Oryctolagus cuniculus: one gene and its partners. The protein of the gene in region 1 interacts with the protein of each later gene in a pairwise test. Links are inferred from orthologs where the notes say so. Each region holds a gene or a part of one and is shown in the gene's direction. Other genes may lie near its edges.

What was found. The genes of interacting proteins can lie anywhere in the genome.
Region 2: the proteins of PNMA5 (region 1) and CSTPP1 interact in binary tests that used the Homo sapiens proteins (3 or more experiments, as listed by UniProt). The two-hybrid records come from large-scale screens. The link is inferred for Oryctolagus cuniculus from reciprocal best matches to the Homo sapiens genes PNMA5 and CSTPP1.
Region 3: the proteins of PNMA5 (region 1) and RAD23B interact in binary tests that used the Homo sapiens proteins (3 or more experiments, as listed by UniProt). The two-hybrid records come from large-scale screens. The link is inferred for Oryctolagus cuniculus from reciprocal best matches to the Homo sapiens genes PNMA5 and RAD23B.

What each region holds. Positions count from the first base shown.
Region 1 is NC_091453.1:131,406,257-131,410,396, reverse strand, and holds the start of PNMA5 (paraneoplastic antigen-like protein 5), read left to right. Parts: upstream 1-1,313; 5' UTR 1,314-1,441; intron 1,442-3,637; 5' UTR 3,638-3,779; intron 3,780-4,140.
Region 2 is NC_091432.1:19,008,789-19,012,957, reverse strand, and holds the start of CSTPP1 (centriolar satellite-associated tubulin polyglutamylase complex regulator 1), read left to right. Parts: upstream 1-1,366; 5' UTR 1,367-1,490; coding exon 1,491-1,536; intron 1,537-4,169. UniProt on the Homo sapiens protein: Regulator of the tubulin polyglutamylase complex (TPGC) that controls cytoskeletal organization, nuclear shape, and cilium disassembly by balancing microtubule and actin assembly.
Region 3 is NC_091432.1:211,021,732-211,025,933, forward strand, and holds the start of RAD23B (UV excision repair protein RAD23 homolog B), read left to right. Parts: upstream 1-1,399; 5' UTR 1,400-1,785; coding exon 1,786-1,851; intron 1,852-4,202. UniProt on the Homo sapiens protein: Multiubiquitin chain receptor involved in modulation of proteasomal degradation. Binds to polyubiquitin chains.

The sequences.
Region 1 (4,140 bases):
GTACAGAGGTGCTCAGGACAGCTCTGCTCACAGCCTGTATGAGACTGGGCAGCTGGTGGTGTCATCCAGAGGGTGCTGTGGACTGCTGTAAGGAGAGCCGTCTGGTCTGTGACCACGTGGCAGCGCCAAGTAATCATTTTCTCCAGTAAGGAGAAGGAAATTAATTTAAGAGATAGTCCAAAGTATGTTCTTGTTAAGTACGCAGTATAGGGGTCTGGGTTACAGTGTCATGTCTCACCTAGGAAAAATTTTCAATTAAAGGAGAATAATGCAATATTTGTATGTATCTTACTTGGTGACATTTAGTTTTAAAAGTTTTCTGCTTTTCACATTTTCATTAAAATATGATTTTAAAAAAGGCCTGTTATTCGTACCAAATACAGCAAAACTTACGTTCTGTCAGCTTACAACTTCTGGCTCTGGTAATCTCAGAGCAGTGCTACACAAAGCATGGGCAGGGAACTGCAATAGCCGCTAGAGTTTTGGTACTTTTGCAGACTCTGAGCTCTGCCAAGACCTCCTGACTCACAACTTGAACCGCTACTATCACCTGCTCTGGGAAATGTGTGTGCACTTTGTAAACTGCTACCAGTGTCCCACCAGTGCCCTTTGCTGGGACAGGACTTTAGGGTCCCCAGTAGCCCCAAGGAAAACAGCTAAGTCTTCCCTCTGTGGAAGAAACCTGCTTTGGGAAAGAAAAGAGAGAAGTTTCGGTACCTCGTGGGTAATTCTCATGCAATCACGAGAATAATGAGAGAATGAAATCTTGATAGTTTCCTGTATCTCAATGAGCCTTGAAAATTGCATGCATTTGTAAAATGAAGGTAGTAGCTGTATTTTTTATTTTTTGCCGTCCCCTAGGACACAGTGGATAAAAATTAACAAGGACAGAGACGTTTGGTTAGTTAGTAGGTACCGAGCTTGTAGTTTGCACCTGGACCTATACTTTGCACATAGCCCTGTGTGCATAGCTTGGAATACACAAACAGGAGGAGCCACTGGTGAAAGTCAGAGCCAGTCCCAGTCCAATGGGTGAGAGACACCTATCATAGTAGCCGCAATGGTTGCTGGGACTGATGTGACAGGTGGTGGTCCTGTCGGCCTCTATTGAGCACGTACAAGCTGGACTGTGAGCAACTCTGCAACGCAACAGTTCTCAGTATGGTTTGAATTCTCTGTTCCCCCTCCAGTCATGACTCAGAGGAGAAACGTGCGGTGGACAGGGCACAACCCCTTTATTGCAGGAGTGGGGTGGAGGTGGAGATGGGGGTGGGCGTGGCCGTAGACGTTGCCGGGATGCATCTGCGAGTGGGCGGTGCTGAAGACCGTTGCTTACCCGACAATTTCTTTCCCGCCACAAACTCGCGGCTCATTCCGTACAGTGGCGGCGGCAGAGTGGCCACGCTGCACGGGCGCTGTGGCCTGGAGGCATTCCCAGAAGGTAAGGAGCTGGGTTTGGGCACAAAAGGGAACCAAGGTTACAACAGATTCCCTCCAATGATCCTGGTTGACCTCCATGAGGTCCCAGGGGCCAGTGGCCTTAGATTCCCCTGGAAGCAGAATCCTAGGGGTCCCTGATATTTCCAGTTATCATGAGTGGCCTCAGAACTTTAGGAGGGCCCATTCTACCCCAAACCTGCCCAGACGTAGCAGTAAGGACAACTGGTTCTGGCCCTTATCCTTGAGGGAAAGTGGCTTTGGCCATTCCTGTTCTAGCCTCTAGCTACCTCTGCTGACTAGATGTGTCCCTGCTCAGAGTAGTGGAAAGGGTGTGTGAGGTTAGGAGTGAATGGGACAGCCTGATGGGTACAGGAGGTTAAAGATAATGAGGTGGGGGAAAGGAGTACAGGGAAATGGAAGTGAGGAACTTGGGTGGGTGCAGGACGTGCACATGAATGGCGGAGTGTATGACACTCGGATGGACACAGAGTTTGGCGGTTCAGTGGCTCTTGGTGAAAGTGGCTTTTGGCGCCAGAAATGGCGCTTGCGCAAGACGCAGTTTGCCGGTTCAGTGGATCTTCAGAGGTTGGCTTTTGGCGCCAGGAATGGCGCTTGCGTGGACGCAGAGTTTGGCGCCAGAGGTGGGGCTTACGTGGACGCAGAGTTAGACGGCAGGGGTGGGGCTTGCGTGGACGCAGAGTGTTGCGCCGGGGTGGGACTTGCGTGGACGCAGAGTTTGACGGCAGGGGTGGGGCTTGCGTGGACGCAGAGTGTTGCGCCGGGGTGGGGCTTGCGTGGACGCAGAGTTTGACGGCAGAGGTGGGACTTGCATGGACGTAGAGTGTTGCACCAGAGATGGAACTTGCGTGGACGCAGAGTTTGACGGCAGGGGTGGGGCTTGCGTGGACGCAGAGTTTGGCACCAGAGGTGGGGCTTACGTGGACGCAGAGTTAGACGGCAGGGGTGGGGCTTGCGTGGACGCAGAGTGTTGCGCCGGGGTGGGACTTGCGTGGACGCAGAGTTTGACGGCAGGGGTGGGGCTTGCGTGGACGCAGAGTGTTGCGCCGGGGTGGGACTTGCGTGGACGCAGAGTTTGGCGCCAGAGGTGGGGCTTGCGTGGACGCAGAGTTTGACGGCAGGGGTGGAGCTTGTGTGGACGCAGAGTGTTGCGCCGGGGTGGGGCTTGCGTGGACGCAGAGTTTGACGGCAGAGGTGGGACTTGCATGGACGTAGAGTGTTGCACCAGAGATGGAACTTGCGTGGACGCAGAGTTTGACGGCAGGGGTGGGGCTTGCGTGGACGCAGATTAGACGGCAGGGGTGGGGCTTGCGTGGACGCAGATTAGACGGCAGAGGTGGGGCTTGCGTGGACGCAGAGTTTGACGGCAGAGGTGGGACTTGCATGGACGTAGAGTGTTGCACCAGAGATGGAGCTTGCATGGACGCAGAGTGTTGCGCCGGGGTGGGACTTGTGTGGACGCAGAGTTTGGCGCCAGAGGTGGGGCTTACGTGGACGCAGAGTTAGACGGCAGGGGTGGGGCTTGCATGGACGCAGAGTGTTGCGCCGGGGTGGGACTTGCGTGGACGCAGAGTTTGGCGCCAGAGGTGGGGCTTACGTGGACGCAGAGTTAGACGGCAGGGGTGGGGCTTGCGTGGACGCAGAGTGTTGCGCCGGGGTGGGACTTGCGTGGACGCAGAGTTTGACGGCAGGGGTGGGGCTTGCGTGGACACAGAGTGTTGCGCCGGGGTGGGGCTTGCGTGGACGCAGAGTTTGACGGCAGAGGTGGGACTTGCATGGACGTAGAGTGTTGCACCAGAGATGGAACTTGCGTGGACGCAGAGTTTGACGGCAGGGGTGGGGCTTGCGTGGACGCAGAGTTTGGCACCAGAGGTGGGGCTTACGTGGACGCAGAGTTAGACGGCAGGGGTGGGGCTTGCGTGGACGCAGAGTTTGGTGCAAGGAGTGGGGCTTGCGTGGACGCAGTTACATGGCAGGCGTGAGGCTTAGGTGGATGCAGAGCTTGGCCTTGGGGGTGTGGCTTGAGTGGAGGTGGGATTTGGGGCTTGGTGGGTGGGATTTTTCCCTGGGGGTGGAGCAGCAGTTTCTTGTATTCGTGAGCAGATTCAAAATTGGCACATCCTGAGCAGGGCATTTGGGACGTAACCACAGTGAAATACCTCTGCCTTGCTTTGGACAGATCCAGTGAAGGGATCCTGATCCATCTAACCTGGTTCGGGAACTGCCTGACAGGACAGAGCTGGAGAGCAAGCTGAGTGCCTGATTACATCAGAATCACAAACTCTACACGGCCAGTGGAATCCACACTGCCAAGTCGTCAAGTAAGTTATTTTGGAAGGTGAGCCTCTGTGACCCTGGCAAAGGACAAGGGGACAAAGGCTGCCTTCCAGGATCCACACACTCTGCAGGGTAGGGCCACACCTAGGGTGACAGTTGTCTGTTTCCTGCAGCGGGACAGTGGGAACCCTTCGTTGGGTCCCTTTTCTGCCCCTAATTCTAGCTGCTACACAATATGAAACCTTAAGCACTTGTTTTTTCAGCACTCAGTCCTTGCTGCTCACCTCACCCCCATCTCCCCTTCACTCTCCCAGCTCCCTTGCTGCTAGGACATTTCCATTGGCTGGAGGATAGTGACATCACCTGTTGCTCTTCAAGTGCCTTCACCTTACCACATGACACAGC
Region 2 (4,169 bases), on another chromosome or scaffold:
GGCTGGAACTGTGACAAGTGCCACAGACTTCTGACCTGCTGTTAGAAGGGGAGTGGAGCAAACTGAGAAACATCTGGGAAGTCGAAAACCAGTGAATACTTTCTCATTCTAAAGGAAATTTTTTTTTAAAGCAATGGGGAAGCTGCCACCTGCCACATGCGTCCTGTATCAGATCACCAGCTGGAGTCCCAGCTGCTCCACTTCAGATCCAGCTCCCTGCTAATGCACTTGGAAAGAAGCAGATGATGGCCCAAGTACTTGGGTTCCTGCCATCAAGACTTGGACGGAACTCCAGGCTCCTGGTTTGGCCTGGCCCAGCCCTGGATATTATGGCCATTTGGGGAGTGAACCGGTGGATAGAAGATCTCTCTTTCTCTCTGCCTTTCAAAAAAGTAAAATAAAATCTTAAAAAACAAAATAAACAAGCAAAACCACATCCACACAAAGCAGTTTGGGGGCTGGCACAGTGGTGCAGTGGATTAAATCACTTGTGACATCAACATCCCATATGAGTGCCGGTTCCAGTTGTGGCTGTACTATTTCCAATCCAGCTCCCTACTAATGCCCCTGGGAAAGCAGTAGAAGATGGTCCAAGTGCTTGGGCCCCTGCTTGTGAGACCTGGAGGAATCTCTTGGCTCCTGGCTTCGTTCTGATCCAGCCCTGGCCATTACAGCCATTTAGGGAGTAAACCAGTGGATAGAAGATGTCTCTGTGTCTCTCCCTCTCTGTAATTCTGCCTTTCGAACAGATCAATAAATCATTTTTAAAAATAGCAGTTGGGTGTCTTTTGGGGAAAAATCTAATAAATATCCCAGTTTATGCACCTCTCTCCACAGGAAATGAAGTATCTTGGAAGGAAAAAGACACTTGGAAAAGGTATCAACTAGTAAGGGAGAGGAGAAAGAAGGGCTTAGGAAATTTGAGAGAAATGTCAATTACTTTAGGACTAAGAAAGCACCTTTTGGTATCCAGCACTATCGTGGACAGAAGACACTCCCCAACCTCCAGAAGCAGCCAAAACACACGCACGTGAAAGCGCTTTGTAGCAATTTAAGATAGTAAAGAGATTAGGTAATGGGATACTAAGTATTTATGGAAGTTCATGGGTGGCAGCTATTATGGTGAGTTAAGATAACAGCTGTACAAAGCAGGAATAGTTATGAAATTCAGAAATTACAGATATGGACAGCTGACAGTAATTCTTCGACACCAGAAAATATGACGGATTCAAAAGAATTCTCCATCTCAGATTCCTTTTAAACCAAGTCCTCAAGAATAGGAGCCCAGAAAAACCGCAACAGCCGCGAAGCGACTGCTCCCGGAACTTGTGTGGCCAGTTCGGAGTTTCCATACGGAGACCGTTTGCGTGACACCCTCTCCGCCTTTCACCTTTCCTCCTGCCGCGTGGGTGCCATGGCAACGGAGGGAGCCGGCGACCTGGGTTCCGGAAGCCGGGTAGCTGGAGCTTTGAAGATACCCGGGTCTAAAGATGCTGAGTCCGGAGCGCCTAGCCCTACCGGACTACGAGTATCTGGGTAGGAGCTTCCTTCAGCCTGGGGGAAGGAGAGAAGTGAAGACGACTTTAGGCCATGTCTGGGAGGAGGCGGGGGCGGGGTCTGGAATGGGCCGGGTAGCGAGGGATGGGGAGGGGCGGAGAGGCGGGGGTTCTAGGGCTGAACGCCTAAGACCCTACAGAGGAAAAATAGCATCTGGAGAGTAAAGACTGCAAAGTGTCTGGGCTGGAGCTCAGGCAATGCGGATAGTACTCAAAGGAGGACAGGTTGGGGTTCAGAATTTGGGGCCTTATTGGAGCTGAGAATTTGAGGCCCTGTTGGTTATGCTGGTAGTGGATTAAGGACCCTTGGAACCTGAAGTGGCGATTCAGTCATTGGATGAATGATCATTTTACCGTGACAGCACCCGCTCTCATTTTGAGCTTTCCTTTCCCGTTAGGCACCGTGCTAAACATTTTACCTGCATTGTTCATGTCATTGGAGGGGGTTCCAAGAAAGGCAAAACCCGAAGGGGAAGGGGCCGGTGGTTATTGGGGTGTATTGGCACAATTTTGGGGAAAAAAAAAAACTTACCAGCTTGACATTCAGTTACAAGGCAGGGGACAAAACCTACTAAAAGACCTGATTTGCAATCTTATTTGCCCTGTCTGGCATGCTCATAGAAGGGTGGCATAGGTAACTTGTTTTCACAATAAAGTGAGCACCTGAGCTCTTGACTCAGCTCAGTATGGCTGTAACCATAGCACTGCACTATATTGAGTACTGGCAGCACCTAAGGCATTTCCTGGGTGACGGAAGGCACGCACACAAACACACATTTTAAAATTTATAGACCGGTTTTTTTTTTTTTTTTGACAGGCAGAGTGGACAGTGAGAGAGAGAGAGACAGAGAGAAAGGTCTTCCTTTTGCCGTTGGTTCACCCTCTAATGGCCCCCCGCGGCCGGCGCGCTGCGGCCGGCACATCGCGCTGATCCGAAGGCAGGAGCCAGGTACTTCTCCTGGTCTCCCATGGGGTGCAGGGCCCAAGGACTTGGGTCATCCTTCACTGCACGCCCTGGCCACAGCAGAGAGCTGGCCTGAAAGAGGGGCAACCGGGACAGAATCCGGCGCCCCAACTGGGACTAGAACCCGGTGTGCCGGCGCCGCAAGGCGGAGGATTAGCCTAGTGAGCCGCGGCGCCGGCCTTATAGACCGATTTATTTAGAGGATTTTTAAGTTTACAGAAAATTGAGCAGATAGTGGAGTGTTCCCAAATATCCTCTTTCCCTATTCAGTGTCCTCTACATTGGACGTGTTGCAGTAGTGTGCTGTATTTGTTACCATTAATGAGCCACAGTCAACACGTTATTGTTAACTAAAGTCCTTAGATGACATGAGGGCTCAGCCTTTGTGCTGTACAGTTCTATGGGTTTTGACACTTGCACGTGACTCCACTGAGTGTCACACAGTGATGCAGGCAATAGTTTCAGTGCCCTCAAGTCTTCTGTGCCCCACCCTTTCATCCCTCACTGATCTCACTTTCTCTAAGGTTTTGCCTTTGACAGAATATCATATAGTTGAATTTATACATGGTGGAACCTTTTCAAATTGGTTTCTTTTCACTTAGCAATAGGCATTTAAGGTTCCTCCCTGTCATTTTGTGGCTTGGTAGCTCATTTCTTTATATCACTGAACAATATTCCATAGTGTGGATGGTCCATGTATAATTTTTAAATGATAAGCAATTCTGGTTTACATTTTTGACTTGATAATATGAAAACCTGATTAAAAAATGAAGCCTTCTCCCACTCCTTCGCCTGTCTGCCTGTTTCCCACCCTGCCTCAGCAACCCCCCACCAAAGGTAACTGGTTCCCTATGTATCCTCCGGAGGTGTACATAATATACAGAAGAGAGTAGACAGTGAATAATTTTTCACTTAATATGTCTCAGAGTAATTTCTGTATCAGTAGAGTGCTTCTTTACTCTTTCTAAAATTTAACTTTTGGCTACATGGTATTTAAGTAATTTATTTAGCCAGTCCCATATTGGTAGACAAAACGCTGTAATAAATAACCTGCAATTTTGTTCCTTTGCCAGCGTATCTACAAGGATAAATTCTACAAAGTGGAATTGATGGGTCAAAGGCATATGCATTTGAAATATTGATTTATATTGCCCAATTACCCTTCATAGGGTTGTACATTTTACAGTGCCACCAGCATTGTAAGAGAATGACTATCCCCACTGTCTTGCCAACAGAATAGATCAGACATTTGGATTTTTTCAGTCTGTTGTGTGACAAATAGTCTCACTGTAGATTTAGTGTGCATTTCTTTTATGATGTTGATTTTTAACGAAGTTTAAGGGCTGATTGGTCTATATATGCTCTATCTCTTTCTCTCTGTCTCTCAGATGATCACATCCATCAATTATCCAAAACAAGATGATAATTTTATATTCAATGAATAATAATTTTTTAAAGATTTATTTATTTATTTGAAAGAATTACACAGAGAGAGGAGAGGCAGAGAGAGAGAGAGGTGTTCCATTCTCTGGTTCACTCCCCAGTTGGCCGCAATGGCCAAAGCTGCGTGCTGATCCAAAGCCAGGAGCCAGGAGCTTCTTCTGGGTCTTCCCATGAGCGTGCAGGGGCCCAAGGAATTGGGCCATCTT
Region 3 (4,202 bases), on another chromosome or scaffold:
CTGAGAACCCACCGACAAGCCAGCAGTGACTTGTATCATTGAGGATGCTGGCTCAGAGAGATTAATGTACATTTGCTCACACAGCTAGTGGTCCAACGGTAACTGGGCTTCATCCTCGAATCGCTTTAAGTCAAACGTGCTCCAGGGAGCCCTATTCCTGGAGTCATTCTGGCCCAGTTCAGAGTCGAGTCTGGTTTGCCACTTCACAGGTGGCCGACTACAGGCACGCGGCTCAACAGCCTTGTACTTCAGCTTTTGCCCCTGTAAATGGACATGTAATCAATGGCTAACCGCTTATGGACTGTTGATTAGGCTCCTTACATTAAGATTTTGCATACTTTATTGAACTCCCCTCCAATAACCAACGAGTTGGGTGCTGTTAGTACCCCACGTTAGTGCTGAGGAGCTGGAAACACAGGTACCCATTTTACGAATATTCACTGTATGCCTGCAGTGTGCCAGGCGCGTTTCTTAGGTGCCGGGGATACACCGGGGAACAAAACAAAATCCACACCTTTGTGTAGCTTCAGTCAGGGGCTTAATGGAAAGGGAGAAGGATGATACACACAGTAAACATGTACATTAGATGGTAAGATTAGGTGATACACGCTATGGGAAAAACGATCAGGATAGAGGAGCTAGGACAGTTGTGATTTCCAGTAGGGTAGCCAGGATGGACCTCACCGAGTCTGAGCGAAGAGCTGCAGGAGGGGAAGTGATGGCAAGGGCACAGACAGCCCTGTGGCGGTGCAGGACGGGCCGACGCACTCAGTTCTAAGGACTTGGACTTTTACTCGGAGAGGGCCAGGAGGGAACTCGTCAACACGTCTGCTCACTGGAGAGACAACCACCTGCGTTTCAAATTGGCCTGTGGAGATTCAAGTCTCAAAGCCAGGGAGAAAAAGGCACGGTGTGAGCCCAGGCGGTCGCGCTCTGGAGTCCGCGCCCTCAGGATTAAGCATCAGCCGATTACACACACAGGCTCACCCCGGCAGCAAGCGCCCCGCAAGTGTTGGCCCAGGACTGCGGCTCCCGCGATCCCTCCACTTTTCACTCCGCCTTCTACCTCTCCTTTTCTAGGCTCAGCATCTACTCAGACAGGTTTCCACGTAGCGCTTCCCCAGCTACGGATTGCGCAATTCGGGCAGCTGGGTGGGGTCTGGACCTGGGCGGAGCGACAGCCGGTTGGAAGAACGCCCCGGCTGTAAACCCTGCGAGCACGCCCCAAGCTCACCGGACGCCCACGGCGTGCGCCTGCGCACCCCGATCCAGGCGGCCAACATTCCAGAGCCGCAAGCCGCCACGCCCCCAGTTCCGGGGCGGAGCTCTGGACCGCGCCTGCGCACTACTTCGTCGCAGCCTGCGCCTGCGCGCTTCGCCCGCCCGGCCCCATCCCCCAGGTTTTTTCAGGTGGGGGAGGGGGCACGTCTCGGCGAGTCACGATGATGGCGGCCACCATCCTGTGGTGAGCTAGCGGATTCTCTGCAGGTCTCACAGAGCCCCTCGCGCTTCCTGCAGACTCGGGGGCTGGCGGCGGGCGCGTGAGGAAGCACGGCGGCCGGAGCTCGCGGGAAAGGCCGGAGTCGCGGAGGCAGCGGCGCGGCCCGGGGCCCGGACTGGGGGAGAGGCCGCTCCGCAGGGCGAATGTGACAAGCCCCCACCCCCACCGCCTTCCTCCAGAGAGCGCGAGGAGCGCGGGCGACCCCAGGGCCGGGCCAGGCCACAGACCCCGCCCAGCGGCCAGCACCCGGCGGAGGCCCGGCAGCGGAGCTGCGCGGCGGCACCATGCAGGTCACCCTGAAGACCCTTCAGCAGCAGACCTTCAAGATCGACATCGACCCCGAGGAGACGGTACGCGCGGCGGGGAGCGCGGGGGCGCCGGCGGCTGCGCGCGGGGCCGAGCACCCGAGGGCGCGGAGGCCCCAGCGGCGTGTGCGGCGGACCCGGCCCCACAAGAGTTGGCCGGGGGCTTTGTAGCAGGGAGCTTCGGGGAGCGGTGGCCGGACGCCGGAGGCCTGGTGGCAGATGGCGTGGAGCGCACGCCCGCGGGGCCCGCAGGCCTCGGCCGCGGAGCTCGTGGCGCTGGGGCTGAGGGGGAGGGGAGGTCGGGCAGCCCCGGCGGTGGAGCCCGGGCCGCGGCTGCGGGTGCCCAGGTGGGGGAGGGCGACGGAGACGTGGAGCTGGTTAGGCGCGGAGGGCTAGGAGTTGGTAACCCGAGCTGATGGGCCTTAAAAAGAAGGATCAGGTTCCGTCTGTGGCCGAGTGAGTGGTGAAAATGAGTTCATTGCCCCCTTCTCTGGAAAGGTTAACCCTTTTGTTTGCATACGTCTCGAATGGTTTTCTGCCGTCCTCCTGGCCCCCAGCACACACGCACACGCAGATTACACTCCGAGAACTCTGGTGGCGAGGTGTGTGCCTCGGAGCCCTGCGAATCCGGGCTCGGACTCAACTCCAGATTGCGCGGGTCCCTCTTTTGGAAGCCTTGGAATGGTAGGGGTTGGAACCCTGGACACCCCCCCCCCCCAATACTTGCAATTTAGGGGAAAGAAACGAACATAAAATACGAACTCTGAATTTCTTCTGTAAAGTCTTAAGAGCTCCAGTCCACGTGACCCAATCTCATGCCATCTTCTCTACTTGTGGCTGCAAAAAGACGCGCTCTGTTGGAATCAATTCAGCTTTATCCCAAGAAATGAAAAATGCCCCGAGTTTAACTCTGCTGCGTGTGTTCCAGAGTTGTCACGCCCCCATACACCGTTAAGACTGTCGTAATGTCAAGTTGAAACCAGCAGCTTGCTGCTTATCTTTATTTTAAAAAATATTTGATTTTTATTTTGGTTGGAGATCGGGGCCTTGGTGTTAAGTAGACATGAGTTCCGTCTGTGGCTTTGGCACTTATTTGGTATGACCTTGCGCACATTACTCTGTTTCGTCCTCCATAATAGATATAAATACCTGAGGATTAAATGGTATTTAGTTGGAGGTCAATAAACAGAATCATTCGATCAATAGGTACCTTTGAGGGAAGATGATGTTAAGTTTTACCTGTCTCATTTAATCTTGTAAATTTTTCTGCATTTTCAGTTTGTTTAAGAAACCAAGAGAGTTGCCAGTCCTTTCGGAATTGTGGCACAAAGTAATTTCAAAATAATTCATCAAATGTAGATGAATGCTGTGTGATGAATTTGTAAAGGTACAGGAGATACCAGTTCTGTGTGAGAAACTTTCAGTGTGCTCAGAAGTAACTGGCAACACCCTGTGTGCTAATACTGCTAATAGAAGGAAATTCTTGAATATTTTCCTGTTGCTAGGGTTTATACTAATAAGTTGAATGACAAAGTTTAAAATGCAGTTGTCTTTAATTTCAGACCAAACTACATAAACTGCCTAATTGACTTCGGTTCTGTGTGGTAATAAGTGTCGGAGCCATGGTAACTCAGTTTATAATAGTCAATTCCAGAATTATTGAAACCTAAAGTTTTTTTTTTTTTTTTAAAGTATCTGGGTTTATTGAAGTTGTGCAGTGATACTTTCCATAGCTTCACTGAAATACTCCTCCTCTAGCTCTTTTTGGCATTTTACACATGGAGCCAATGCTGTATTTGTAGAAGTTCTTAACTGTATTCATTGCTTTCCTTCGATTCCAAGGGAATGTAATGAATTACACTTTCAGATGTATATTTTCCAGAAAGTTTTATGGGGGGGAGCTTTAGCTTTTTTGTTGCTATTTATATAAATATAACTTTGTTGCTATTGCTATAATTATAAACTAATATTTTAGGTTAGTCTGGGGTAAAAAACTAAAGCCTTCTATTTACATTAAAACAACTTGTCGATTTTCAGTAATGGCTTGGAGTTTCAGAAAATTTTTAAAGGCACCTTTTAGATGTGTACTCATTTTTTGATACAATATTTTAGAATTCCGCTAAGAAACAATAACAGTTTGATATAGGGTGATTCTAAGTGGCTTGTTCTAATTTGTTGTGAGAAGTAGATAACCAAAGATAGTAGAAACAGTTAAAAAATAATGAAAAGTTGTGATTTCATTGAGACATAATAAGTATATCTGCAATGAACAGATTTTGGCCTCAGACCTGTATTTTGGTTGCTCAAACATTGGTTCCGTGTTTACAAAGAAAGGAACTAAGCAAATTCCTTAACTCTGGGTAGCCTCTCTAGAAGTTCCTGTGAGCTTGAGAAGA